7 linked regions of the Oryctolagus cuniculus genome follow. The protein of the gene in region 5 interacts with the protein of the main gene of each other region in a pairwise test. Links are inferred from orthologs where the notes say so. Each region holds a gene or a part of one and is shown on either strand. Other genes may lie near its edges. The genes, in order: CXXC1, LGALS8, PLEKHN1, TNFAIP3, TAX1BP1, GABARAPL2 and microtubule-associated proteins 1A/1B light chain 3C.

What was found.
Region 1: the proteins of TAX1BP1 (region 5) and CXXC1 interact in binary tests that used the Homo sapiens proteins (3 or more experiments, as listed by UniProt). The two-hybrid records come from large-scale screens. The link is inferred for Oryctolagus cuniculus from reciprocal best matches to the Homo sapiens genes TAX1BP1 and CXXC1.
Region 2: the proteins of TAX1BP1 (region 5) and LGALS8 interact in binary tests that used the Homo sapiens proteins (3 or more experiments, as listed by UniProt). The link is inferred for Oryctolagus cuniculus from reciprocal best matches to the Homo sapiens genes TAX1BP1 and LGALS8.
Region 3: the proteins of TAX1BP1 (region 5) and PLEKHN1 interact in binary tests that used the Homo sapiens proteins (3 or more experiments, as listed by UniProt). The two-hybrid records come from large-scale screens. The link is inferred for Oryctolagus cuniculus from reciprocal best matches to the Homo sapiens genes TAX1BP1 and PLEKHN1.
Region 4: the proteins of TAX1BP1 (region 5) and TNFAIP3 interact in binary tests that used the Homo sapiens proteins (3 or more experiments, as listed by UniProt). The link is inferred for Oryctolagus cuniculus from reciprocal best matches to the Homo sapiens genes TAX1BP1 and TNFAIP3.
Region 6: the proteins of TAX1BP1 (region 5) and GABARAPL2 interact in binary tests that used the Homo sapiens proteins (3 or more experiments, as listed by UniProt). The link is inferred for Oryctolagus cuniculus from reciprocal best matches to the Homo sapiens genes TAX1BP1 and GABARAPL2.
Region 7: the proteins of TAX1BP1 (region 5) and microtubule-associated proteins 1A/1B light chain 3C interact in binary tests that used the Homo sapiens proteins (3 or more experiments, as listed by UniProt). The link is inferred for Oryctolagus cuniculus from reciprocal best matches to the Homo sapiens genes TAX1BP1 and MAP1LC3C.

The regions. Positions count from the first base shown.
Region 1 is NC_091441.1:27,830,371-27,832,760, reverse strand, and holds the end of CXXC1 (CXXC-type zinc finger protein 1), read right to left. Parts: coding exon 2,292-2,390; intron 2,086-2,291; coding exon 1,878-2,085; intron 1,800-1,877; coding exon 1,689-1,799; intron 1,554-1,688; coding exon 1,504-1,553; intron 1,396-1,503; coding exon 1,299-1,395; intron 1,129-1,298; coding exon 976-1,128; intron 892-975; coding exon 745-891; 3' UTR 501-744; downstream 1-500. UniProt on the Homo sapiens protein: Transcriptional activator that exhibits a unique DNA binding specificity for CpG unmethylated motifs with a preference for CpGG.
Region 2 is NC_091444.1:61,220,607-61,224,106, forward strand, and holds part of LGALS8 (galectin-8), read right to left. Parts: intron 2,667-3,500; coding exon 2,640-2,666; intron 2,515-2,639; coding exon 2,389-2,514; intron 1,877-2,388; coding exon 1,788-1,876; intron 1,038-1,787; coding exon 872-1,037; intron 1-871.
Region 3 is NC_091438.1:164,379,296-164,381,673, forward strand, and holds part of PLEKHN1 (pleckstrin homology domain-containing family N member 1), read right to left. Parts: intron 2,300-2,378; coding exon 2,172-2,299; intron 2,096-2,171; coding exon 1,964-2,095; intron 1,768-1,963; coding exon 1,687-1,767; intron 1,139-1,686; coding exon 1,063-1,138; intron 924-1,062; coding exon 775-923; intron 380-774; coding exon 224-379; intron 138-223; coding exon 12-137; intron 1-11. UniProt on the Homo sapiens protein: Controls the stability of the leptin mRNA harboring an AU-rich element (ARE) in its 3' UTR, in cooperation with the RNA stabilizer ELAVL1.
Region 4 is NC_091436.1:30,955,108-30,958,552, forward strand, and holds the end of TNFAIP3 (tumor necrosis factor alpha-induced protein 3), read right to left. Parts: intron 2,607-3,445; coding exon 2,322-2,606; 3' UTR 501-2,321; downstream 1-500. UniProt on the Homo sapiens protein: Ubiquitin-editing enzyme that contains both ubiquitin ligase and deubiquitinase activities.
Region 5 is NC_091447.1:19,339,193-19,342,692, reverse strand, and holds part of TAX1BP1 (tax1-binding protein 1), read right to left. Parts: intron 2,257-3,500; coding exon 2,069-2,256; intron 1-2,068.
Region 6 is NC_091449.1:57,942,871-57,946,872, forward strand, and holds the start of GABARAPL2 (gamma-aminobutyric acid receptor-associated protein-like 2), read left to right. Parts: upstream 1-1,202; 5' UTR 1,203-1,478; coding exon 1,479-1,512; intron 1,513-1,858; coding exon 1,859-1,914; intron 1,915-2,931; coding exon 2,932-3,104; intron 3,105-4,002. UniProt on the Homo sapiens protein: Ubiquitin-like modifier involved in intra-Golgi traffic. Modulates intra-Golgi transport through coupling between NSF activity and SNAREs activation. It first stimulates the ATPase activity of NSF which in turn stimulates the association with GOSR1.
Region 7 is NC_091444.1:55,581,969-55,586,065, reverse strand, and holds the start of microtubule-associated proteins 1A/1B light chain 3C, read right to left. Parts: upstream 2,801-4,097; 5' UTR 2,693-2,800; coding exon 2,635-2,692; intron 2,536-2,634; coding exon 2,480-2,535; intron 2,312-2,479; coding exon 2,205-2,311; intron 141-2,204; coding exon 1-140.

The sequences.
Region 1 (2,390 bases), on a different chromosome or scaffold from region 5:
CTCGCCTCCCCGTCGGGCACCCGCGCGCCTGCGCGACTCGCTCCCCCGGGCGGCTGGTCCGGCCCGCGGGGGGCCATCTAGTTTGCGCCTGCGCTCGCCGGGGCCAGTCCGAGCCTGAGGGGGCGTGGACAGCGAGGTTGGTCTGGGTTCTCCATTTCCTCCGCTGTCCACGGGGAGTCACCGGCAAGGGAGGGAAGCTGGGGTCGAGCCTTCGCGCTGGCTGCCCCAGGGCGCGCAGACCCCCAACTCCAGGGGAGGGGTCGGTGCCGCATGGCAGGTAGCCGGGGCGTGGGGGGCGTGGCAGCCCCGCCCCAGGCGAGCCCTGCGCCGACCGCTGACCGCGGAGAGCCGGCGGGGGCTCCTGATCACTTTCCAGGAGCGGGTCGGCCGCTGCACGCACAGCTGGTCTGGACACGCAGCCACACTGTGCCGCCAGTGGGCGCCCCCGCCAGGGACTGCGTGGGGAGCCTGCACAGTGCGCACACATCAAGCAAGTCCTCTTCTTGCTTCAAAATTTTATTAACAAAACCGCGGGAGGCAAGGGTGAGCAAACTTCACAGTCCCACCCAGCACAAGAGCGGAGACAGACCGACGGACGCAGTCTGAGACCCCCTGGTAGGGGCAGATGGGCACTCAGGTGCTGGCTGGGCACAGGGAGAAACTTGGGGGCAGCTGAAGAAACAGACGAAGGAGGAACGAACAAACGGAGGAGCAGGCCGCCCGGGCGGGCCTGGGCCGGTGCGCTCAGCGGTCGGCGCTGGAGCGCAGGTCGGTGGTGAGCGGGTCGTGCTGGATTGTCTGGTGCAGCATCAAGGCCAGCAGCCCTGCGCGGTTTGTCATGGCTGTGCGCACGTTGCGCTCCTGCTCAAACAGCTCGTCCAACTTGTACCACTGCCGAAGGACACAGGGAGCCGTGAGAAGTCACAGGAGCCTGCGGGCCTGCGGGCCCCTGGCCACAGCCAGCACCCAACCTACCACGCGCACGCGCTCCAGGTCCACTTCGGCTCGCCGCAGCTTCTCCCAGCAGTAATGACGATTGCACTGGCGCTTGGGCAGGCGGCAGAAGTCACCTGTGAGCTCAAAGACATCCCGCACAAGAGGACACCCGCACACCTCGTCGGCTGGCACCTGCAGGGACACGCAGGGAGGGGATGCAGAGGTGGTGAGGAGCCCAGGAGCGGGGCGCACTCCTGGGGGAGGAATCGAGTGGCCAGGTAGGAAATGGAAAAGGACAGGAGCTGAGGGAGGAAGCAAAGAACAGGGAAGGGGAGGCAGGTGGGGGCTGAGGAAATGCTTACTTTGGGGTCCCGCGAGTGCTCAGGACACAGCACCTGGAGCCGCTTACAGTATGTTTTGCTCTGAGGGTTGTATACATCACAGAAGAGTCGTGTGGCCCTGGGGGTTGGAATCAACACGGTAACGGCCAGAAAGGAGGACCGAGGCCCCCTTATCCTTTACCGCGCCCATGGCCTGCCCCAGCTCCACAGAGCACCCTGCACTCACCCTTCAATGCGGGTGGGGTACATGGACCCGAAGGACGTCTGGCTCTCATACTGGAGGGATGAGCACAAAGGAGGGAACTGGATGTGCGCTGCACGCCCACCCAGGACACCACCCAGACAACACGGCCGTCCCTCGAGGCTCACTGGGCTCCCACACCATCCGCCCCCTCAGGCTGACACCCCGACCTTGGCATAGCAGCGCTCCATGTGGCGCAAGGCAACGCGTGGGTTGATGGGATGCCCGCAGGAAACGCAGAAGATCTGCAGGTCTGTGTCGTCGCTGTCATTCTCATTGCTCTGCGTGGGGCAGGAGGAACTGTGAGGCCAGGTGGGGACCAGGTGCCGGGCCCCGCGCTCCTGGGCGCGTGCGCTCACCTCTTCATCCTCGCGCACAGCCTGCTGCTTGGCACGCAGAATGATGGCCTCGAGCTCATGGAAGCGGCGCTCCATTTCCTGGAGGCGGGTGCGGGCGCTCTGCTGCTCCCGGCGGATGCGCTCCAGCAGCTTCTTGCCATGCTCCTCCGCGATGCAGGGGCTCTGCTGCCACTGCTGGATGCGCTGCGGGAGGATCTCGTAGATGCGGCTGCAGAGAGGCAGTGAGTGGGCTGCAGGCAGGGACCTGCCAGCCACGAGACGAGGGACGACCACTGGATGGGTGACTAAATGGGGCAGGCGGGTAGGTGGGCACTGGGCTAACTGAATGGTGGGTAGGTGACTGGCAGACAGAGGACTCGGGTCACGCCCTAGCCTGTACCCCTGCCTCTGCTGAACCTCCCAGGAAGGACTTACTTGGCTGCCAGCTTCATGCCGCAGTCATCCGAGCAATACTTGGAGCCGGGCTGGGCAGCGCGCACACAGCCAGGCCCCAGGCACTGTGGCAGTGATGCA
Region 2 (3,500 bases), on a different chromosome or scaffold from region 5:
GAAATTCATGAATAGTTTTTCCATACTATGCATTTTCCATGAACTTTTTGAGGATCCCTCATATAGATGGATTTCAAAATTTTTCAGCATCAAACTAAACGTTTCATTCTATTTTCCATGAATTTTGTGAAGTACCTGGTTTTTAACAGGATTGACTTCTGAACTGTAGCCAGCCAAGATGAGAGATGATAGTACAAGCAAGCACTTCTAGGGTCCCCACGTCCTCATGTCCACATGTGATTACACACGTTACTCCAGTCCTGAGAAAGTTCCTGTCAAGATTCCTATTACACTGGGATAGGAGTCCCCCCAGAGGTCTGCTGCCAGTTGGAATGCTCACTGCACAGTAGTGCCTGGGTTTGAGAACCAATTCCGCTCCTAATTCTAGCTTCCTGCTAGTGCACACTCTGGGAAGCAGATGGTGATGGCTCAAGTGCTTGGGTCCCTGCCACCCACATGGGAGACCCAGACTGAGTTTCTGGTCCAGCCCCAGCCAGTTCTGGTCCATTCCAGCATTTGGGGAATAAACCAATAGACAGTGATGAGAGCTCTGTCTGACCCTGTCTCTCAAAAAAAAAAAAAAATAAATAAATAAAAACAGATTCTTAATATAGGGATAACTCATTTTAATATATCAAATGTCAAATAATTCCAATGCAAATAATGTGATACTCTACTGATTTTGCCATTGATACCAACAGCCTATGTTATAAAAGTGAGCATTCAAATTACAGCCTCCAAGGAAAGAAACAAAAGCAACAGCAGCCCACAGTATCCGCCTGAGTTGGGATTTGATTTAAATGGGCCATTTATCCTATCTCTGCTCCCAAGATTCTTTTTCCTGGCCCATTTCCAAAAAATATCATCTTACCTCAAAGTACATCCCAGGACTAAATGGGAAACAAGTAATATTTCTCTCTTCTTCTCCCCAGGACTCTTGAAGAAAAGAATTTCTTACAAATGCTTTCAAATTCAGGCGTGGGTTCAAGTGTAGAGCAATATCCTTCGATTTTCCTGCTATCAGGTCAACATTAAAGCTTTTAAGAGGGAGGGAAAACAAATTTTAACCACAAATGTGTGAATAGTCTGTTCCTGCAATTTTCATCATCAGACTTGAGCTACTGTTACAAACATATGAAACACATACGCATATGGATATAGGTGAGATTCTCAACTCCTGAGACAGCATTCCATGTTACTTGGAAAATAAAAATACAAAACAACCTTCAAATCAGTGTTGAGGCAGAGATCTGCTTGGGCAGAAATCGAAGGTTTTTGTGCTACCAAACTAAATGGTTATTTCGGGCTGCAGGAACTGGACCCTTTCTGGCAGGTACTCTCTTTTAATCATTTCCAGGTGCTCTCTTCTTGAAAGCACGCAGCTTTCTGGGAAACAGCTCTGAAGTCAAGCTTTCAGAAGCCCGGACATCTCTGGCAAAGGTTCTTAAAGCAGAAATGTTGTAAGTCACATGAAAAGAGCTGCCCTGAAAAGCTGCCTGATTTATGAGGCTGCCCCAGAGCTCACAAGGCAAGGGCGGGCCTTGTGGACAAACATGCTATCCTCATGCGTGGCTAGAAAAGGCGCAGGTCAGAACCCGGGACTTCAGTCCTGGTTCTGCACCACGTAGTTGTTAGCAGTTGAACGTCTTCCTGCTTTAACAGTCTCGCCTTTCTAATGAGGATCTGACGCTAGACTTCTATCTCACAGGAGGTTAGGGGCTATCAGGCGGTAACAGGCACACGTGGAAAGCACTGGCACTGCTACCGGTAACGTTGATGATACCAACCCTTTGGCACCTGTGTTCACTTCTCCTTTGATGACGACAGTTCGCCCGGGGCCCATGGAAGAATTCAACCTCGCAACAAATGGCAGGCTCTAAAAAGAAGTCGCAGTCAGAACAAGGAAGGCTGCAGGGAAAATCTCACGGGCAAACTGTCCAGAGGGCACCAGGGAACGTTTAGGAGCCTGGAACCCCGTGAGGGGACAGACCAAACTTGCTTTGGTCCCAGGTGGATCCCTTGTGGTAGCGCTGTGCCTGTCAGTGCAAGCTCTCAATGAGGAAACGAACGGACACACAGTGCGACCTGATGTACTCTGTCCAAGTGACACTCATTCTGGGAGAGCCACCTGCACTTGGGCTCTGATGCAGTGCTCCATGTTCCTGAAGGGGTCTGAAGGGGTAGGGGGCAGCCACGCTGGGAGGAGTGGAGGAGCTACAGGCCCATGGCCCAGAGACATATACCCAGTGACCCTCATGTCTGTCCAGGGACAGCATACAAATGCAGCGTGGCTGCTTTGGGCTTCTACTTGGGGGTAGGGTTTATACTTAACAGCTACCTAAAACTTAGTTTTTCTAAAGAATTAAGAAAATCTGTGGCTCTTCAAACCTTTGACAAATAGCTGGTAGGTAGTATTTTGGTGCAAGTCAAAGTGTGATTGACAGTCGAATCTTTGCTCTTGGTGTAGGCAGTTCTGGGTACGACTTTAGAAATGTCTCCTTCTCTATTACTAGGCTGTAGGGAAACAGTTCTACAATAAGGAATGCAGTGAATGAAGCTGTCTTTCAAGGTTCAACTATTCATTTTCTAGGCAATTTTATAAAATGTTCCCAGGTAAGAACTCAGAGAAAACTACTTACAAACTGTGGCGTGCCAGACTTCTGCACCTATGGGAGGAGAATCAAGAAATGAGAACACTGGAAAGACAAGACATACATTTTATAATGTGAGCAGTCTGATCTTGTTGGTTGTGATGAGCTGAGCCTGGCCAGGGTCTGGGCCATTCAGGCCCACTCTCTGCTGGTGTGACACACAGTGATTCCTGACTGTGCTATGGAGGTGGAAAGGGCAACTCAGGCTGGGAATGAACTCTAAGAGCCCTATTGATCTGAGTCCTTTATCCTCCACTATGAGTGAGTAATTTTTCACAGGACTGCATGTGAGCTTCAAACACATTTAACTTGTTCTTTCCAAGTACCCCCAAAATGCTGATTATACTCTTTGTTGGTGAGGTATGAATATGCTGAGATTGGAAGACCTTACTTCTCCATTAATAGTAGCACAGATGCAATTTTTGAACTGCACTTGTTCCCAAAGGGAGAGAAGATGCATATGGAAGTTTATTTTCTAATGCACTTGGCTGGTGTATGATATTTGTAAATATCTCATGACTGCCCTACTTGATGGTTTAGAGTCAGACACACTTCATGTTCCATAGGAACGGTGGGTAACTGTCACACAAACTGAGAGGCTAAGCATCAGCCAACACTTGAGTGCCTACCCAAATAAGAAGTATATACCACAATTCTCAATTACTTCCATCCTAGCTTCGTACTAAAATCCTAATTTTAGGGGGCAGCTGGCCTAGCAGTTAAGGTGTCGCTTGGGATGCCCATATACCATATCAGAGTTCCAGGACTGGAGTCTTGGCTGTGCTCTTGATTCTGTCTTCCTGCTAAAGTGCCCAAAGGAGCAGCAAGTGACAGCTCAAGTAGCTGGGA
Region 3 (2,378 bases), on a different chromosome or scaffold from region 5:
ACAGGACTGACCTCATTAAGGCTGCGGACATCCATGATCTTGCGGTGGGAAGTGGCAGGGGGTGTGTAGGGGTCGGCATAGAGTGGGGAGTGTGGTGCCTCCACTGGGGGCTCTCCCTCCAGGCCCAGCCTGCTCACCTACGGGAAAGACAGCCTCAGTCTGAGAGACAGTGGCCAGCAGGCGGAGTGCAAGGGAGCCGGGTAGGACTGCACGCTGGGCCCACCTTGCTCAGGTCCAGGTGCAGGTGCCGTGGTGCGGCTGGGCCCGGCCCTTCCACCCAGGCCTTCCCCCTGGGTAACCGGCTGCTGCCCGCACGTCTCAGCTCTGCTCTCCGCCAGCCGATGCTGGTGCACTCAGGGTTGGCCTGGTCCTGGGGAGACTGAGAAATTTCCCCAAAGTTCCGTGGGACCCTCCCCACACAAGTCCCTGAGGATGTCTAGAGCACCCTCCAGTTCAAGCTCCCCCCTCCGAGGAATCCAGTCCAGATGGGGGAGGACCCAGGCCCCTCCATGCCTCATGGATTCCTGACCCCCTGGAGTCCTCACTCAGGCTGGACAGCACCAAGCCCTTGGGGGCAGAGTGTGGCTGGTGAAGGTAGGGGGCTCGTGGAGGATCAGGAGCGTGAATCTGGGCCACCCCGTGACCCGGGCAGGAGGGCGTGGAGCCAGCTGCCTCGACCCCTCTCCCCACCTTACCTATGTCTGGTTCCGCCCTCTGCCTCTGGCTTTTACCACTGTCCAGGACCTGGCTGCAGGGTCCCTGTTGACTTCTCACCTGCGCAGGCCCCAGGGACCCCAGGACATCCTCAGGGCCAGACAGCAGGGGGGCCCCATCCCGGCGGGAGACTGCCCGGAGGCAGAGCAGCCAGTGGCTGTAATCCTCGTAGCTGGCACACGCCACACGGATGGTGTTGATGAGGTGGCCTGCATGGACACATGAGGCCAGAGCCTGGCAGGGCGGGTGTACCACACAGGGCCCGCTCAGCAGAGCCGGGGCCCCAGCAGGCTCTGGCCTCCCGCCCGTGGCCCCGCCAGGAGGGGCAGGGTCCAGATAAGCACCCACCTTCGATCAGGAAGGAGCGGATCTGTTTCTCCTTCTCCTCCAGGTTGATATGGATGGCGCTCAGGGGGAGCTCTCCCTGGGGGGCAGTGACTAAGGGCAGGGCCTCCATCCTGCCATCTGGAGCCGGGCTGGGCACTCAGCCTGGCATGGAGGCTGAAGGAGGCCAGGCTGCCCCCTCCCACCCAGCCTCCTGGTGGGGCCTCACCACCCCATGGGGCCGTGGTACGGCAGCCCCTGGGTGTGAGTGCAGACCGCCAACAGGCTTTGGCCCCAGAGGACACGCGCACACACACACGCATACACACACACACGCCCCTCAGGCGCCTGGAAGACATCACTCAAAGGCACCTGGAGTGAGCCCCACCCCTGCACCCGTCCCAGCACGACAGACCGCTGGCTGGGCACCCTCCAGAGTGAGATGGGTCACTCAGATCAGGATCCTCTCTCCCCACCGGAACCAAGACCAGACTTACTGACCAGGGCAGTGGGGCCTGGTGGGCAGGGCCCGTGTGCTCTGTCCCAACAGGCCCCGAAATACAGGTTCCTCCTGAGTTGCTGCCCCCTCCCACCCCCACACACCGGGCGCCTCCCTGGGTGGCTCCACCACGGGTGGGAGGGGCCTACCTTAAAGCTAAACCCGTCTGGTTCCTCCGAGAAGATGGCCAGGGACGCTGGGTACAGGACCAGGAGCCGGTCCCATTGCTCCTGCAGGGGGATCAGAGAGGATTCTGGGCCCTGAGTGGGGCTTGGACCCCACACCCACACCCTCCTGTCCCCTCCTGCCCACCTGTGAGGGCTGAGGGGGCCCGCCTACCTGGACCCTCCCATCCCCTCCTGTCCACCTGTGAGGGCTGAGGGCTTTGGCGCCCCCACCTGGACCCCCCCGTCCCCTGCTGTGCACCTGTGAGGGCAGATGCTGCAGCTTGACCCTGGAGGCACAGATGGGGGCACCTGCTGGTCCCGGCCCTGGCGCTGTCCGCAGTCGGGTCAGATGTTGGTGCAGTGTCCAGGGGGGCTCGTCCCCAGGGGGGCTCTGGGGAGAGGGAGGTCTAGGGCAGGCCAGGCAGGGGTGGGGGTGGGGAACAGGTGCAGGGTTTCCTGGCACTGACCTGAGGTGGCGCGGAATGGCAGCGGGGCAGCCCCCTGGCGAGGGCCATCTGCTTCTCCAGGTGGAACAGCCAGCGGCTCAGCTCAGCCTCGCCAGGGCAGAGCACCAGGAGCGGGGCAGGCAGGGGGCCTGGGGAAGGGGGCAGAGCAGGCTGGGTGGGCTGAGCCTGGAGCCCCCAGACACCTGCAGGAAAGACCCGGGACCCTGG
Region 4 (3,445 bases), on a different chromosome or scaffold from region 5:
GAGAGACAGAGATCTTTCACCCACTGGTTTACTTCCCAAATGCCTGCTATGGCCAGGGCTGCAACAGGCCAAAGCCAGGAGCCAGAACTCCATCTGAGTCCCTCATAGGGTGGCAGGGTCCCAGGCATTCATTGCCTCCCAGGAAGCATTAGCAGGAAGCTGGCTCACCAGCAGAGCAATCAGGACTTGAATTGGCACTCTGATTCCGGATGCAGCTTAACCTACTACACCCCAATAGCTGGCACTAGATCCAACCTCTTCAAGGTGGGTCCTCCCCTTTCAATACAGCTACACTGGTGACCATGCTGCCGAGGGACAGCCAGTCTGTCACAGCACAGCCCTACCCTCACACAGTCGTATCATTTTTTTAAAGCAACTTCACTATCCATGGATGAGGGAAGTATTCTTTGCCCAAATGTACACCAAAATATAGTTGCTTAGAAAGCTGTTTTCATATTTGAGGCTTTGTTTCAGTGTTCATCAATAAAAAAACATCAAAATATGTTCTTAAATAATTTATTTTTTAATATTGACTCTTGTGAAAGTTACACTTATTCGGGAAAACCAAGGAATTCAACAAAGTATGAGACAACTAAATGTGCAAATTTCAAATATTTTCTATAGCGAGTATAAATAATTCCATTTCTTTTCACATTAAGAAAGAAAATATTGATAGACAAAATATTAGGCTATCAACTTTAAAGGAACTAGGTGAACACACTGATGTTTCTTTGACATCTTTAGCAAGAAATCATAAAGATTTACATCAGCGAACAGACATGTCAGGTAACACGAGGGAAGGCTATGTAGAGTTATGGATCACAGATATTTTGGGGTGACGACTCTAGACCCCAAAACTGGCAGCCTTTACCCCTGGGAGAAACACACTTCCCTCTTTTTTCTTTTTTTTTTTTTTTCTGAGTAACAATGACAATAACACAAAGCACACAGAGAAACTGCAGGCCAATGACACACACACACATCCTCATCCTCTTGCTTCCTACTTGGTTTCTGTGTCCCACGGCTGGACTCAAGGCCACTGCCTAAAACCCCAGGACACAGCATTAACACAGCAAATGAAACCACGACGAAAAGTCACATCTTGCCCTGTGACCGCCCTCCCCATCTCATGCCTACTTCTTGCCTATCATATCTCCAAGGAGGTAGGATACTCAGAAGCACCCATAACACAGGACAACTTCTTAGCAAATCAGAGGGGGAGGCATGAGATTCGAATGGATTTCCTCCTGATACAATTCCTTCTCGCCAAGGGAGGCAAGCAGCAAGGTGTCTGCAGGCAGCTCCACTCCCTGCTGTGGTCAGGAGCTCGCCTGGGTCCGGAACGCGACCAAAGCAAAGATGCTATCTCACAGGAGATACTGCAGCCTTTCCCCAGAGCTGAGGAAACAGCTTCATTTAAATAATCTTGACATTGGTAATAAAATAAATAAAGCGGATTACACAGACACAACTGGAGTGCTCCCTTTCCAAAGGCAGCTGGTTGAGTTCACGGAAGCTGTGTATACAGGTGGTGCCCCAGCAACAACCAGAAAATAGGTTATTATTATTCAGTCTTCCCACATATACCTCTATTATTAATAATAATAAAAAATCCCTCATACATAAGGGTGTATCACCTATGTACACAGATTTACACACACCTTGGTTCAAGCGAACCTCTTCAGCAGACAATGATAACCAAGAGAGTTACACATTTTCCCACTAAAATATTCTGAGTTTTCAAAGGTGCACGTTGTAAAGAGCAGCTTGCTTCCTTTCCATCGTTGACAGCGTCGGTCCCAGCAGCTCCGTCACAGTCCGTTCTGCTCTCTGGCCGGCTCACAGGGAAGGGGACGTGGCAGGTGGGGACACGGTGGACTCCTGACACTCTCTGGACGTGGGCGTCTCCCTGAGCTTCGGGCAGAGGGCCTCTGTCCCACGAGGCTTCAGCTTCCCCCCTCTGAGTGGGGTGGTGACAGGGCAGGGGGCGAGGCCCTGGCTCTCCCAGCCCACCCGCCTGGGTGAGCTCTCCCTTTCCTCAACAAGACGACGAGGCAGTCCCGATGGGCAGGGTCCGGGTCCGGAGATGCTCCGGGCCTTCCACATGGTGGCATGGGAGGATCCAGTCCCCGGCTCTGCTGGGTGGACGCCCCGGTCACCAAACCCGAGCCCATCCCCATCACGGCCTGGATGAAGAGCTTATCTGTCGTTCCCTGCTCAGCCACGCTTGAGCCCACTCCCCGTGGCGGGCACTGCCCCTCCAGTGGGCTCTGGAGGCCTGGAGTATAGCACCACGTTGACGGCAGCTGGCCTGTTTCCCGTCAGCCATACATCTGCTTGAACTGAAAGCACTCGTTGCAGTAGCCATTACACTTGGCATTGCCAAAGTGGTCGCAGGCTGGGGCCCGGCAGCGCTGCTTGGGGGGCTCCTCGGGGGCGAGCTCTCCGCGGGGGACGCCGGAGCCCACGCGCTGGCTGAGGTGCTGGCACTCCATGCAGAGCTCCTCACTACGGCACGCCAGGATGTTCCTGCAGGTGGCCCGGGCGCACTTAGGCCTGGAGCTGCTCTGTGTGGTTCGGGGCACGTCTCTGCGCTGGCTCGATCTCTGGGTGGGAAGAACAGACAGATTTGTGGCTCGTGTTTCAAAGGGAGGGCACAAGATCTCATTGGACACAGCAGATTCCACACCCCTGCAAGGGAGCAGCGGGCAGGTGCTGTCAGCGAGCTGGACATGGCCTTCCGATCCCCAGGAAACTGGACCTCGCCCTGGGGAGGTCAAGCCCACCACCACTGGCAGTGAAGCCGGCCCACCTCTCTTCTATCGGGACTGAGGACCGGCTGTGCTTACTTAGCCAATTCCTACCGCTCTACAGCTAGCTGCAGGCCTGCTTTGAGGCCGCTAAGCGGAATCCCCTGGCTTCTGCCTTCTCTCCCTGTGATAAAGGATCGTTGAAGAAGCCTGCCTTTGCGATGTCTGTGTTTCTGCCACAATTCAAGAAATCTTGGATTACTACCTGGCTTTTTGGAAGCTTGAAGAGGTTTTATTCTATGGCAGATTTTATCTGCTTTATAAAATGACTTCTAAAGTATACTTAGTTCAAGGAAATCAATAGCAGTCCCTCCAATCTGGGAAGATAAGGTGAATGGGATTTTTATCCCTTAGATCTTCCTGCAGACTTGAGTGACAGAGAGAGGGAGACAGAGAAAGAGAGAGAGAGAATCTTCCACTTACTGGTTCACTCCCCAAGTGGTTGCAAGGGCCAGGGCTGGGTCAGGCCAAAACCAGGAGTTTGGAACTCCAGCCTGGTCTCCCAAGTGGGTGGCAGAAGCCCAGGTACATCCTTTGGTGCTTCCCTCGTGCATTAGCAGGGAGCTGGATCGGAAGTGGAGCAGCTGGGACTGCAAGCAGTGCTCATATTTGGGATGCTGGCATCACCGGCAGCA
Region 5 (3,500 bases):
TAAGGATAGTCTCTTTTAAATCACTACTATTATTGTAGGTAAGAAAATTAAGAATAATTTTATATCGGCCGGCACCACAGCTCACTAGGTTAGTCCTCCACCTAGTGGCACCGGCACACCGGGTTCTAGTCCCGGTCGGGGCACCGGATTCTTTCCTGGTTGCCCCTTTTCCAGACCAGCTCTCTACTGTGGCCCGGGAAGGCAGTGGAGGATGGCCCAAGTGCTTGGGCCCTGCACCCCATGGGAGACCAGGAGAAGCACCTGGCTCCTGTCATCGGATCAGCGCGGTGCGCCGGCCGCAGCGTGCCAGCTGTGGCGGCCATTGGAGGGTGAACCAACGGCAAAAGGAAGACCTCTCTCTCTGTCTCTCTCACTGTCCACTCTGCCTGTCAAAAAAAAAATAATAATAATAATAATAATTTTATATCATCCAGTAGATAGATCACAAACATCCTACATTACCCTTCTAAATCTGCTATCTAATCAAGGATCACATTGCAGGACTACGTCTCATTAATCACTTTTAACACCAACGGGGACTCAGATAATGTCTCACATTTCTATTAATTTTGTGTATTAGATAAAAACATTAAAATTTTCATGAATGTGGAAACATAAAAGACTTGTCAAAAATAAAAAGTTTATCTCAGAAATATTTACTCAAGAGACTGCAACTTAAATTTTCTTTATAAAGTACCCTTTGTGGATTGAAAGAAATGAAATAGATCATGCTATGAACTGGAGAAAAGCAGAAGATAAACATGGATGTCAAAATGCCCATAATTTGTCTGTTGGAGGCCCTGAGATCAGGGTGGTCTATTAAGTATTCCAAAAGCTGTAATATAAATACTAACTACATTCTTCTTAAGAGCTAGGTCTGTTTCTGAATAGCCAACATTCAAATACCAGGCTAAAAACCTTGATCATCAGGCAGTTGTCACCACAAAATGCTTTAGTCACCCCATAAAAGTTACATTTCTGTATTAGAGATAAGAGAGGAATTTCTGGAAAGAGGAAGGAAAGATATGAAAAAATTCACAATAAAAATGACTGATTCCTTCTAACCTTTAAGGCTGTCTAATAAGAGTATTTGTATCTGTAATTGTTTTTCCTCTAATTTCCATTCTTCAAGGTAAATAAAGTAAAATCAAAAGCATAAAATATTTTACTTGAAAAAAAGTCACCCATCTGATTATAAATAAAAAGTAATGACCTATAATACACAAAATATGGATGTGCATTACCCAAAATGCATACTGAATCAACTTTAAATAAAAATTTGTCTTTTTACAGTAAAAAACACTATACACAATTACAGTAACTCAAATCCAGTATTCTGGTTTTTTAAGTATAAAGATGTTGGGAAATATGATCGTGAAATGACAAAAAGTTCTATATTCTCTTTCAATGACTACTAAAATTTAAGAAATGCAGTACTATTAGATCATCTATATACTATTAGATCATCTATATGCATATATATCATTTATACTACAACGAGTCTCATAACTGCACAATATGCAATTTTTAAAAAAGTGAAAAGCTTGTCACCTTTTCTTGTAAATTATGGTTAATCTAAGCTTATTCATTTGATAAGATGAACAAAAAGAATTATTCTAAAAATGTTCAATCTAAATTAAGAAACTTGTATTCACTTGACACACTTGAGAAAGCATACTCATAGCTCATAAAGCAAAGTTCACATCCAATCAGATTTCTCACTTTTATCCTCTCTCTCATGCTTGAGGTCCGAAGTCTATCCTATTCCACAATCAACAAATCACGCTACCAAAGAAGAAAGGTAAGGGTAAGGGAACATAAGGATGCTTAATGTCTAATTTCTCTCAGTAGGTGTTTCCTGCATCATCTACTATGCACAAAATACTCTTAGGCTCTAAGGACAAAGTCCCTGCCATATAATTGTAATGAAAAGACTTTTAGGTCTTTTAAAAAAGAGAGTATACATTTACTACTTTAGTGAAAAGCATTTGATTTTTGCAGATACTCTTAACCTGAAAATTCTTAAAATGCCAGCCAATATGAGCTCTGATTCATTGTTAATACCAACCTCAAGGAGGCCAGCTTTTGTGGTCACCACCAGCATGTCAGAATTCCCTTCATCTTCCATCGTAAGTAACTCTTCAACCGGAGAAGAAGCTCGAAACTGGAAAGGTGTACTTGCTCCACGAATTTCACCCTTATGGGTAACATAACAGAACTGATAAAATTCGCCATCATCATTTGGAAGGTAGTACCCTAAGAGGTAGTAAACAAATATTAAAACTTTCTATTATAAAATTAACATTATTTCAATGTAATTGAGCAACACTTGCCATCTCTCATTCCACACATTGTTTCTGGCACCTATGTTCAATATGTCTTTCCTACGGCTATTCACAAATTATACCAACTGACCGCCTCCTTTCTTCTCAAACATACCCAAACTTTTCATATTTTAGATGTAAAATTATTCTATCAGAAGATCCTTTCCTTCTGTATCTTCACTAGAGCAAAACCAACTCATATGGAAGAGGTGAGAATGTATTCTACCACGGGAGAAGGACTGCAGAATACTGGAGAATGACCAGTATAAAAATCTAGGAACTAGGAATGGAGGTGAGAATGTCATTTAATGAACTTTTTTTCCAATTCTAAATTTAATACATTTAAAAGACAATTATTAACTAGAAAACATGCTGCATACATGAATTGGGTAAAGGCTGGATATAGGGTGAGGTCTGTTCATGCAGCCATCTGGGGAGTGAACCAGCAGATGGAAGCTCTCTCACTCTGACTCTACCTCTAATTCTTTCAAATAAACAAACAAATCTTTAAGTGCACACACACACATATAGCCCATTAGAGTACACTCTGCATTACTATTTCTTATACACATGTCTTTTATCTCCTACATCAGATCTCAAAAACATGAGGGTAGATACAGAGATTGAAGGCAGATGCACACTTATTTTTATTATATGTTTGTGCATATAACATATTCCAGAATACCCCACAATGACTTATAAAAAAGAGGCATTCAACAAATGTGAAATGAATATACATCAATATATATTACTGAACATGAACATATTCACCTTAGAATATCCACTCAAAAATCTATAATCAATATACCTGCTATTCTTTTATGTCTTGAAACTTTCAGCTTCATTGTTGTGATATCTACTTCATCTGATTTCAATGTTTAAAAAATAGCTAGCTTTTCTTCTTAGAAACAAAGAGTAGCAGCAGAGAATATATAAGAATGATTCAAAAATGTTCATGGGGCCAGCCTTGTAACATTAACAGATTAAACCATCACCTGCAATGTCAGCATCCAATATGGGGACTGGTTTGTATCCCAGCTGCTCTACTTCCCATCCAGCTCCCTGTTAATACACCTGGGAAAAGCAGCAGACCATGTCCAAATCTTTGGACACCTGCACCCATGTGGGAGAACCAGAATAAACTCTTGGCTTGGGCCTGTCCATCCCTGGCTGTTG
Region 6 (4,002 bases), on a different chromosome or scaffold from region 5:
TCACCCTCCAATGGCCGCCGCGGCCGGCGTGCTGCGACCGGCGCACCGCGCTGATCTGATGGCAGGAGCCAGGTGCTTCTCCTGGTCTCCCATGGGGTGCAGGGCCCAAGCACTTGGGCCATCCTCCACTGCACTCCCGGGCCACAGCAGAGAGCTGGCCTGGAAGAGGGGCAACCGGGACAGAATCTGGCGCCCCGACTGGGACTAGAACCCGGTGTGCCGGCGCCGCTAGATGGAGGATTAGCCTATTGAGCTGCAGCGGCAGCACCAGTTTCTAAGTATGAAACTCAAAGGATTTTCCACTTCGTTAACAAACCCTCTTCTGGCTGTTGAGACACGCAACCGTAAATGCACAGAAATACTTGTAGACTGAACCCTGCATTCCACAGCATCCGTGGGGAATTCGATCTGTAGGAAGTGATGGATGACATTATTCAAACACACAGGCCTTTTGGATGCAGCAGAATCACAAGCATGTAGCAGGGGTCATGTGCCCAATTAGATGAATGTTCCGGTCACATGTTCACCAGCTAATAAACAGATGGTGACCCAGGACACCCTGCCCTGGTGACTCTGCTTGGAAGAAAGGAATCACATCGCTGAGTGGAGAACCTCAAGGCTACGTGCAGGCAGGTGACACAGAGGGCCCGGCTGTGCCTGCTAAGCCACTCCCACTGCCCAACAAGGAAACCTGCCCCGTGACCAGCACTCAGAGGAATTCCGGCCTGGCAGTCACCTCTAACTTCCCTGCTGGGTGAAGGTTAAGGGATCGCTGTGTGGCCGCTGATGTCACACAAGCATTTGTGACACCCTCCATATGCATCCACACGTATATTCGTGGATCAAGGAAGGAAATGGGATTCCTGTATGATTTCTGGATTCAAGGTAACCTAGCATGGCTGACCTCAGTGCAAGACCCCCTGGACGTCATCAGCTCCCCTCCCCACACACAGCCCTCAAACTGCCAACACTCCCCTATGCTGAGTCCCCCACCCCTCACCGCTGCAAATATCCCCCAAACTGTCAACGCCCTAACAAGAGACCACTCTTCTGTCATTCATATTCCTAAATACCCTTCTGGTCAGCACCGTCCCAGACTTCCCCTATGAACAACCCTAAGAGCCCTAGCCTCTCAGCCACGCCCCCAAAAGTCTTCCGTATCAGTCACCAACGCCCTGGCGCCCCACCCCCGTCACAGGTCCTCCAGCAGTCCTCCCCCGACCCAGTAGCCAGTAGCCCTCAAGACACCCCTGCCACCAGCGCCACAGCCCGATCGCCCCCTGCGCCCCTAGTGCGGCCCCGCCCCCTGGAGCGGCGACCCTGCGGGCGGCGCCGGAAGCCCCGCCCCTGCCAGTTGCTAGGCTCCGGCAGCCGGAAGTCCCGCCTGCCGTGTAGTCGCTGCCGTCGTTGTTGTTGTGGTCGGTTCGCTGAACTCCGCGGCTCCCGAGAGCCGGCTGCGTCCCCTCGCTGCCGCCGCCATGAAGTGGATGTTCAAGGAGGACCACTCGCTCGGTAAGCTCTCGGCCGCCGGCCGGCCGGCCCGCGGGGAGTGGGGGCGGCGGGTGGGCCCCCTCCCCCACTCGGGCCGCCCTGGGCCGGGTCGGGCGGGGCGGATGCTGCGCTCCGGGCTCGGGTCGCCGAGGGCCCGGGCCGTCGTGGGCAGCCGCCCCCTGGCCCGGTGCGGCCCTCTGCGGCCCCTCCTCCGGGAGCCCGGGGGCAGAGGACCGCGGTCGCGGAGACACCGGACGAGGGCCGGGGCTTGCGCAGGTCGCCGGGGGAGGAGGACCGCGAGGGCCTGGGGCCCGGCACCGGCCCGGCGGGCAGGCGCCGCCGTCAGCCCGGTGTGTTTCTCTCTCAGAACACAGATGCGTGGAATCCGCGAAGATCCGAGCGAAATACCCCGACCGGGTTCCGGTGAGTGTGGGACTCCCCGCCCCCTCGCCCTGCTGGCTCCCCTGTCCCCTGCCCGGGAGCGGCGACGGGGCCCAGCCGTGCGACACTGGGTGAGCTGAGGTTCCGGACCCCGCTTGGCGTGGCCGGCGGTCCCCCGGCCGGGGTCGAGGGGCTGGGGCTGGTGCTGTTCAGGTGCCTCAGTGCTGAATCTCCCGATCTGGGCCAGCGAGCTGTCTACAGCCCCAGGGCTCCCTGGCCAATTACGTAAGGAACGATGTTCTAGGACAGGGCAACAGGTCACTGCCACTTTTGGGAACGGTGGCGGAGCGACTCACCGTGGTCCTGGAAGCGGCCCTTAGGTTTCGGGACGTGCAGTCTTTCACTCTGCGTGTCGGGCTCGCGGACTTCTCGTTCCTCTTGTGCACGGGGACCATGTCGTCTTGCCTGACCGAGGATGCTGCAGAGCTGCGGGGAGTCCCTTCTCCCGGGTCTCCTTTTAGTCAGTGATGCATTCGCGCCTGTAGTTTGTGGTCCGTGTTGGTTTGGAGAGGTTCCCCTGGGGAGGGCACAGACCCGAAAGCTGTTCAGAGAAGCGACAGGCCACCCGAGGAGCCTGCCAGGCAGCCCAGCGGCCCGCCCGTGCTTGCCGGCTGTGTCCGTGGGCCCTCAGTTCTGCAGCGTGGAGGTGGGTCCACTCTGGGGTCCTGGAGGAAGCGGCTGTACAGGAAACACCCACCAGGCATTCTCAGATCTGCCCAGATGAGATGTTGAAAGCCTCGGTAGCTGATTCTTCGGCATGCCGCGATCAGGATGAGAGGCTTAATTGACCACAGAGAAGCACTTACTGTTTCCCCATAATAGATGTGTAGCAGTTCCTGACGTCCAGATCGTGTGGCTGCTGGAGCCGGCGGGGTCTGGCCATGCTCGGCTGTTTCCCACCCAGCTCCTTGCCCACACTCTGCCCATCAGTGCCCCGCCAGTGTGGGGGAAGAGCCTCACGGGAAGAGACCCAGTCTTGACTTCTCTTTACTTTCCCAGGTGATTGTGGAAAAAGTCTCAGGCTCCCAGATTGTCGACATTGACAAACGGAAGTACCTGGTTCCATCTGACATTACTGTGGCTCAGTTCATGTGGATCATCAGGAAGAGGATCCAGCTCCCTTCTGAAAAGGCGATCTTCCTGTTCGTGGATAAGACAGTCCCACAGTCCAGGTGAGGTGCTGCCACACAGACCTCCGAGGGGGACGTCTGCCCGGCTGCTTAACACCACCAGACCCTTGGGAGGCCTCGGGATCTGCCTGGAATCTGGGTTTTATGGTCCCTGACACCAGGAGCGCCAGGAAAACAAGAAAGGGCTGCCATAAATGGGAGTGCACTTTGGATTAAGAAAATAGAACGAAGCCTAGACGGAAGAAAAAGAAAAACCCAGGCTCAGCCACCCAAGAATACTGGGAAATAGTCGAGCACGCAGGTCGGCCTAAGCCGTAGGTAGAACAAGGTATCAGACGAGGTTTCTCACGGGACCGTGAGGTCGCCCCTGCTGCTCTGTCAGGAGCTCTGGGCCTCCTGGGGCTCAGCTTCAATTGATCACCTGCTTGCTTCTCCTCACTTCCGTCAGCTCTTTGCCTTGGTGAGACGAGCGCCCAGCCCCCAGCACTTGTGGCCCCAGTTCACTCGATGCAGCCACTTGCTCAGTTGAGGTTATTCTTACAAGTGTGTTTATAAACACGAGGCATGTGACGTGCCTGAGGAAACGGCTGCTGCTCAGGAAAGGCTCTGAGGGCTCTCTGCGCTCTTTTACCGGCCTCGGCACCTCCTGCTTTGACTGCCACAGTGCTGTGCTGCCTGGAAGCCGCCTTTGGGATTCAGTTGTGACTTGGGGCCTGAATCTAGGCAGGGCTGTCACAGTTCCCCTCTTTGGTATAACTGACAGGCCAGCCTTAGTCCTCTTGGAATGGGGCACAGGGACTGGCTCAGTCTAAACTCCTGGTCACTCCATTGCCTTTACTGATTGGGCACTTCTAGGCCTGGAGCCAGATTCTGGACCCACCTTTTTGCTGAATGTGAATTCCTGGCCACATCTTCCCTTAGTGACCCAAACAAGGTTTCA
Region 7 (4,097 bases), on a different chromosome or scaffold from region 5:
AGGCATAGGTCATGTAGACAAAGCCGTCCTTGTCCTTGTAGTCCCGATAGATCTCTGCCATGGTCATGCTCATGCTGACCAAGCTCTTGTTGTCCACCAGGAGGTAAAAGGCTTCGGTGGCCCTCAGGACCATGCGGCTCCTGGGAAGGGGAGAAGGGTAGTGAGAGACTTGACCTGGGAATCAGCTTAGGAATCTGAAGGCTCAGGATGTGCAAGACAACTGAATTGCCCACAGCTGTTCCTGGAACTTTAAGATCCTCAGGGCCTCCCAGTTGGGCCCAAAGGATGAGGCCATTCCATTTTTAACTAAGGCGAATACCAACACAATAATGCTAAGCAAATAAGTCCTAGGTCTCGTTGAAAGCTATTTCCCCAGTGAATAAGAGGCATGGAGAACACTGCCCCCCCTTCCCTGCTTTCTGTGGGCTTCATGCAGGCCACCTGTTTGTGCTGCTGCTCCTGCCCACGCGGTTTCTGGCCTGTAGCTTCCTGCACATGGCCCCCGTTATGCTCTCTGCCTGGTATGGAACTCCTAGTTTATCTTTCTGATCCCCTCCTCCCTTAATAAAACCCTTAAGTTCCTGTTTATTTCTCTTGCTTCCCCAAGTAAATGCTGAGCTTAAAAAAAAAAAAAAAAGAAAGCTATTTCCCCAAGGGTGCAAGAATGATACATTATCTTTCCAGCGTCTCACAATTAAACAGGGGTGGAAAGGCCTTGAAGTGTGCCCTTCCCTTCCCTTGCCATTTCTCCTCTGCCACCGACGAGATGGAGAAGGAGCAAGGCTTAGTTGGACATCCTTTAAATGTCAAGGGTAAACAGACTTCCAATTCAGTGTGCAGTGATTGACAGTGAATCAATATAGGTGCCTACAGGAAGGCTCAGTCTCACCTTTCACACACTTCCATTTGCTCTAATTAGTGAAACAGACACAATTTCCCACTGCACTCTCAGAATTTTGAGCCTCGATGTGGGATAAGATCAAACATAAATGGGACATGGGGAGTGACTGGAATCTGATTCAGTTTATACTCAGGTAATTTCTCCTAAAAGAATACCAAAGGTATTCATTCTGGCTATTGCCCAGTGCCTTTGGGTGAAAAGCAACCATTCTGCAGTGGGGTGGGGGTGGAAGAAGAGTGGAACTAGGGATGGGAATACTGCCCTTGGCTGGGTTGGAAAAGCTCCTGTGCCCGAGCTTGCACTCATCTCCTTCATTTCGCAAACTCACTTTTGATGAGTGTTTGGGCATCCCCAAGGGGGAGAAGGCCACAGACAGGCATTATTGTCTATTTTGTTCACAGTTGGCTCTACAGAGTCCAGAAGACACACAGAATACAGTTGGTGCTCAATAAACATTGATGAGGATGAGGATGAGGATGTAGGTTGGGAGCCAGGAGCAGTGACTGGGAAGAGGAAAAAGGGTTCTCCATCCCCAAGGGGTCACCTAATGATTAACTGATACAATGGGATCTCCTCCCGACTTTGATATCTCTTTAGGCATCTGTCTTCACAATGAACTTGGAAACTTCGACAACTCTTTGAAACAAAACAAAATGAAGACACTCATTCATTCACAGTGAGCCCTCAAAGCAACAGGCAACAGTGGCTATTCAGCCTCCAAACAGACTTTTCAACCTGGTGAGGACTTAGTCACTGGCTGTATTTACTCACAAATCATTTTCTAATTGCACTCATGCATCAGGCGACACCACTTAACCCTCTTAAGCTTTAAGAAGGGCAGGGACCTTTTGCTTTTCAAACAGTTCCCCGTCTGCCAGAAACACAAACCCTGAGGAAAGCTGCTGCTCTCTGCCAGGGACACGCAGACTGGCTTGCACACAGTTTCTGGAAGAAGGATCTTCTGGATGAGTTCGAGAGCCAGAACTACTCTAGGGAATTCTTCGAAATGTCGGCAGCTCTTGCAGTCTGTTGCTTGTTGTCTAAGGGGTTCTCCCCACTTGTTTAAAATAGAATAATTCTCACAGCATCTTTTTAGGGCACAACAGAATCTAAAAGATGAGTGAGTCACCAAAAGATCTCAACCCCCTTTTCTTCTGGAATACCCACATTCCAACCAAAGAATGCAGCAAACTTACAGATAGTTGCAAAATTCTCTAATTCTCTCTCTCTCTCTCTCTCTCTCTCTCACACACACACACACACACACACACACACACACACACATGTCCGCTGTGTCACCTACCGTATGATGCTGAGAAACTGGGTCATGGTCAGCTCCTGAGGAACCAAGAACTTGGTTTTGTCCAGCAGGGGCAGGAGCTTCTCTCTGGGGTAGCGCTCCACTATCACCTGCCAAGAGTATTAGCATGGGTCTCTCCTGAGGCAGGTGCCTAAGAATGTGACTCAGAGCCCCCAGTATCTTAGGGACTTGGGAAAGAGAGGGGGAGGCCATTGTTTGATCTTTGTTTCTTCAAAGAACAGATACAGGCTCCTCTGGGGAAGGACAGTGAGTCTTACCGGGATCTTGTTTGGGAACTTTGCCCGGATTCCAGCAACTTCCTCTTGTCTGGTTGCTGTAGAGATTTCAGGTAGAAAAGAGTAAGTGGACAGTTAGAGAAAGATGCATCCTCTCCTGCCTCTCAAGTTACCCAGAGAGCTGCCCAGAGCTTTACCTAGGCTCTTCCTCTGCTTGAAGGGTCTGAGGCTTGGGTTTTTCTGTAGAGGCGGCATTTTGCTCAACAGCTGTGTCTGTGTTGGTCTTTAAAGGGAAAAAGAAAAAAAAAACCCACAACTCATTCCCCCAGCTGCATCCACGCTGTCTGCAGGAGCCTAAAGGAGGCTTTAAATAGGGCTGAGTGACATCAGGCCAATCCTGACCCTCCCTTCTCTCGACTCCCCCTTCCTGGGCAGCAGGAGGTCAGTGCTGAGGCTGGAAATGGAATGGCCACCTGCTTGCTGGTCAGAGAAAGTCACTTTGCTCTTGACCAGTTCAAGATGTTTCTTTGCTAAAGAAATTAGGGTTCATGATGAAATCATTGGAATGCACACTCTGACAGCCGAGGTATGGGCTGAGGACTTTAGAGAGGTGGAACTGCCTTATGCCACGGTTGTTTTTGCACTTCAGTAATGAACCAGCTTGAGGTGAGTCCATGATAAATCTGCCTCTCTCTGAAATGTGCTCCATAATTCTCAAGGCAGTCTTTGCTGCTTTTCAAAGAACAAACCCCTGTATTCAGAAAGCTTAAGTGATTTGCTTAAAGCCACAATAGCTAGTGAGAAGGCAGTTGGGATTAGAACCCAGCTGAGGCACAAGGTAGACATACATGACAGTATGTGGTGTCATTTATCTTCTCTGCAATAGTGGCAGGAAGGAGGGACCGTTCTAGGATCTTTAAGAAGTGAGGTGAGCAGCAGAGGCACACAGAAGGTAATTTTCTTGCCTTGGGATCAAACATGGAGTAGCAGGCGGAAGGTGGCTCTCTTGATTCTCAGAGCTTGCTTCCAGATTCTTATGCCTATCCAAGGAGCCCTTCAGATTCTGAGTGAGCAGGTTTACGTTTCCTTTGTCGTGAAGAGTGCTTATGTATACTCTGACTTCCCAGCAGTCATGGAACAGTGAAGAGTTTTGAAGTGAATACACAATAGAGTGGAGGAGGGAAATATGTTCTCCATATTTGCAGGTTGAGTAGAAAGGAAGGGTGAGTCTCAGGGCTTTAGGTCAGAGATCAGGAATAGGCAGCAGGTGCTTAACTGACAGCATCACTGAAGAGAGAAATTGACCTCATGCTGTTTCACTTGTTCTTCAAAAGGAGGCAGCCCCTCAGGTGTGCATAATACAAAGCAGGTGTGTGACACTCTGGGGCCAAGCATCTTTCAAGTCTGGATTTCATTTAAATCTCCCCAGTTGCCTTGCAGGTTGGAAGGCCAGGTGGGAAGCATACCTTGCAGGGATCAAGACAACTCGGTCAGATTACACTGAGGTGGGACCCATCCTACACTGGGATTCTCAGGGGCAGGCCTGGGCTCCGACACCATGCAAAGCTGGTGCCAGGCGTGGTGCTCCCACTACATTCACCTTAACTTCTGATCTTATGTAGGTGATTTCACTTTACTAATTATGATTTTGAATACCTTA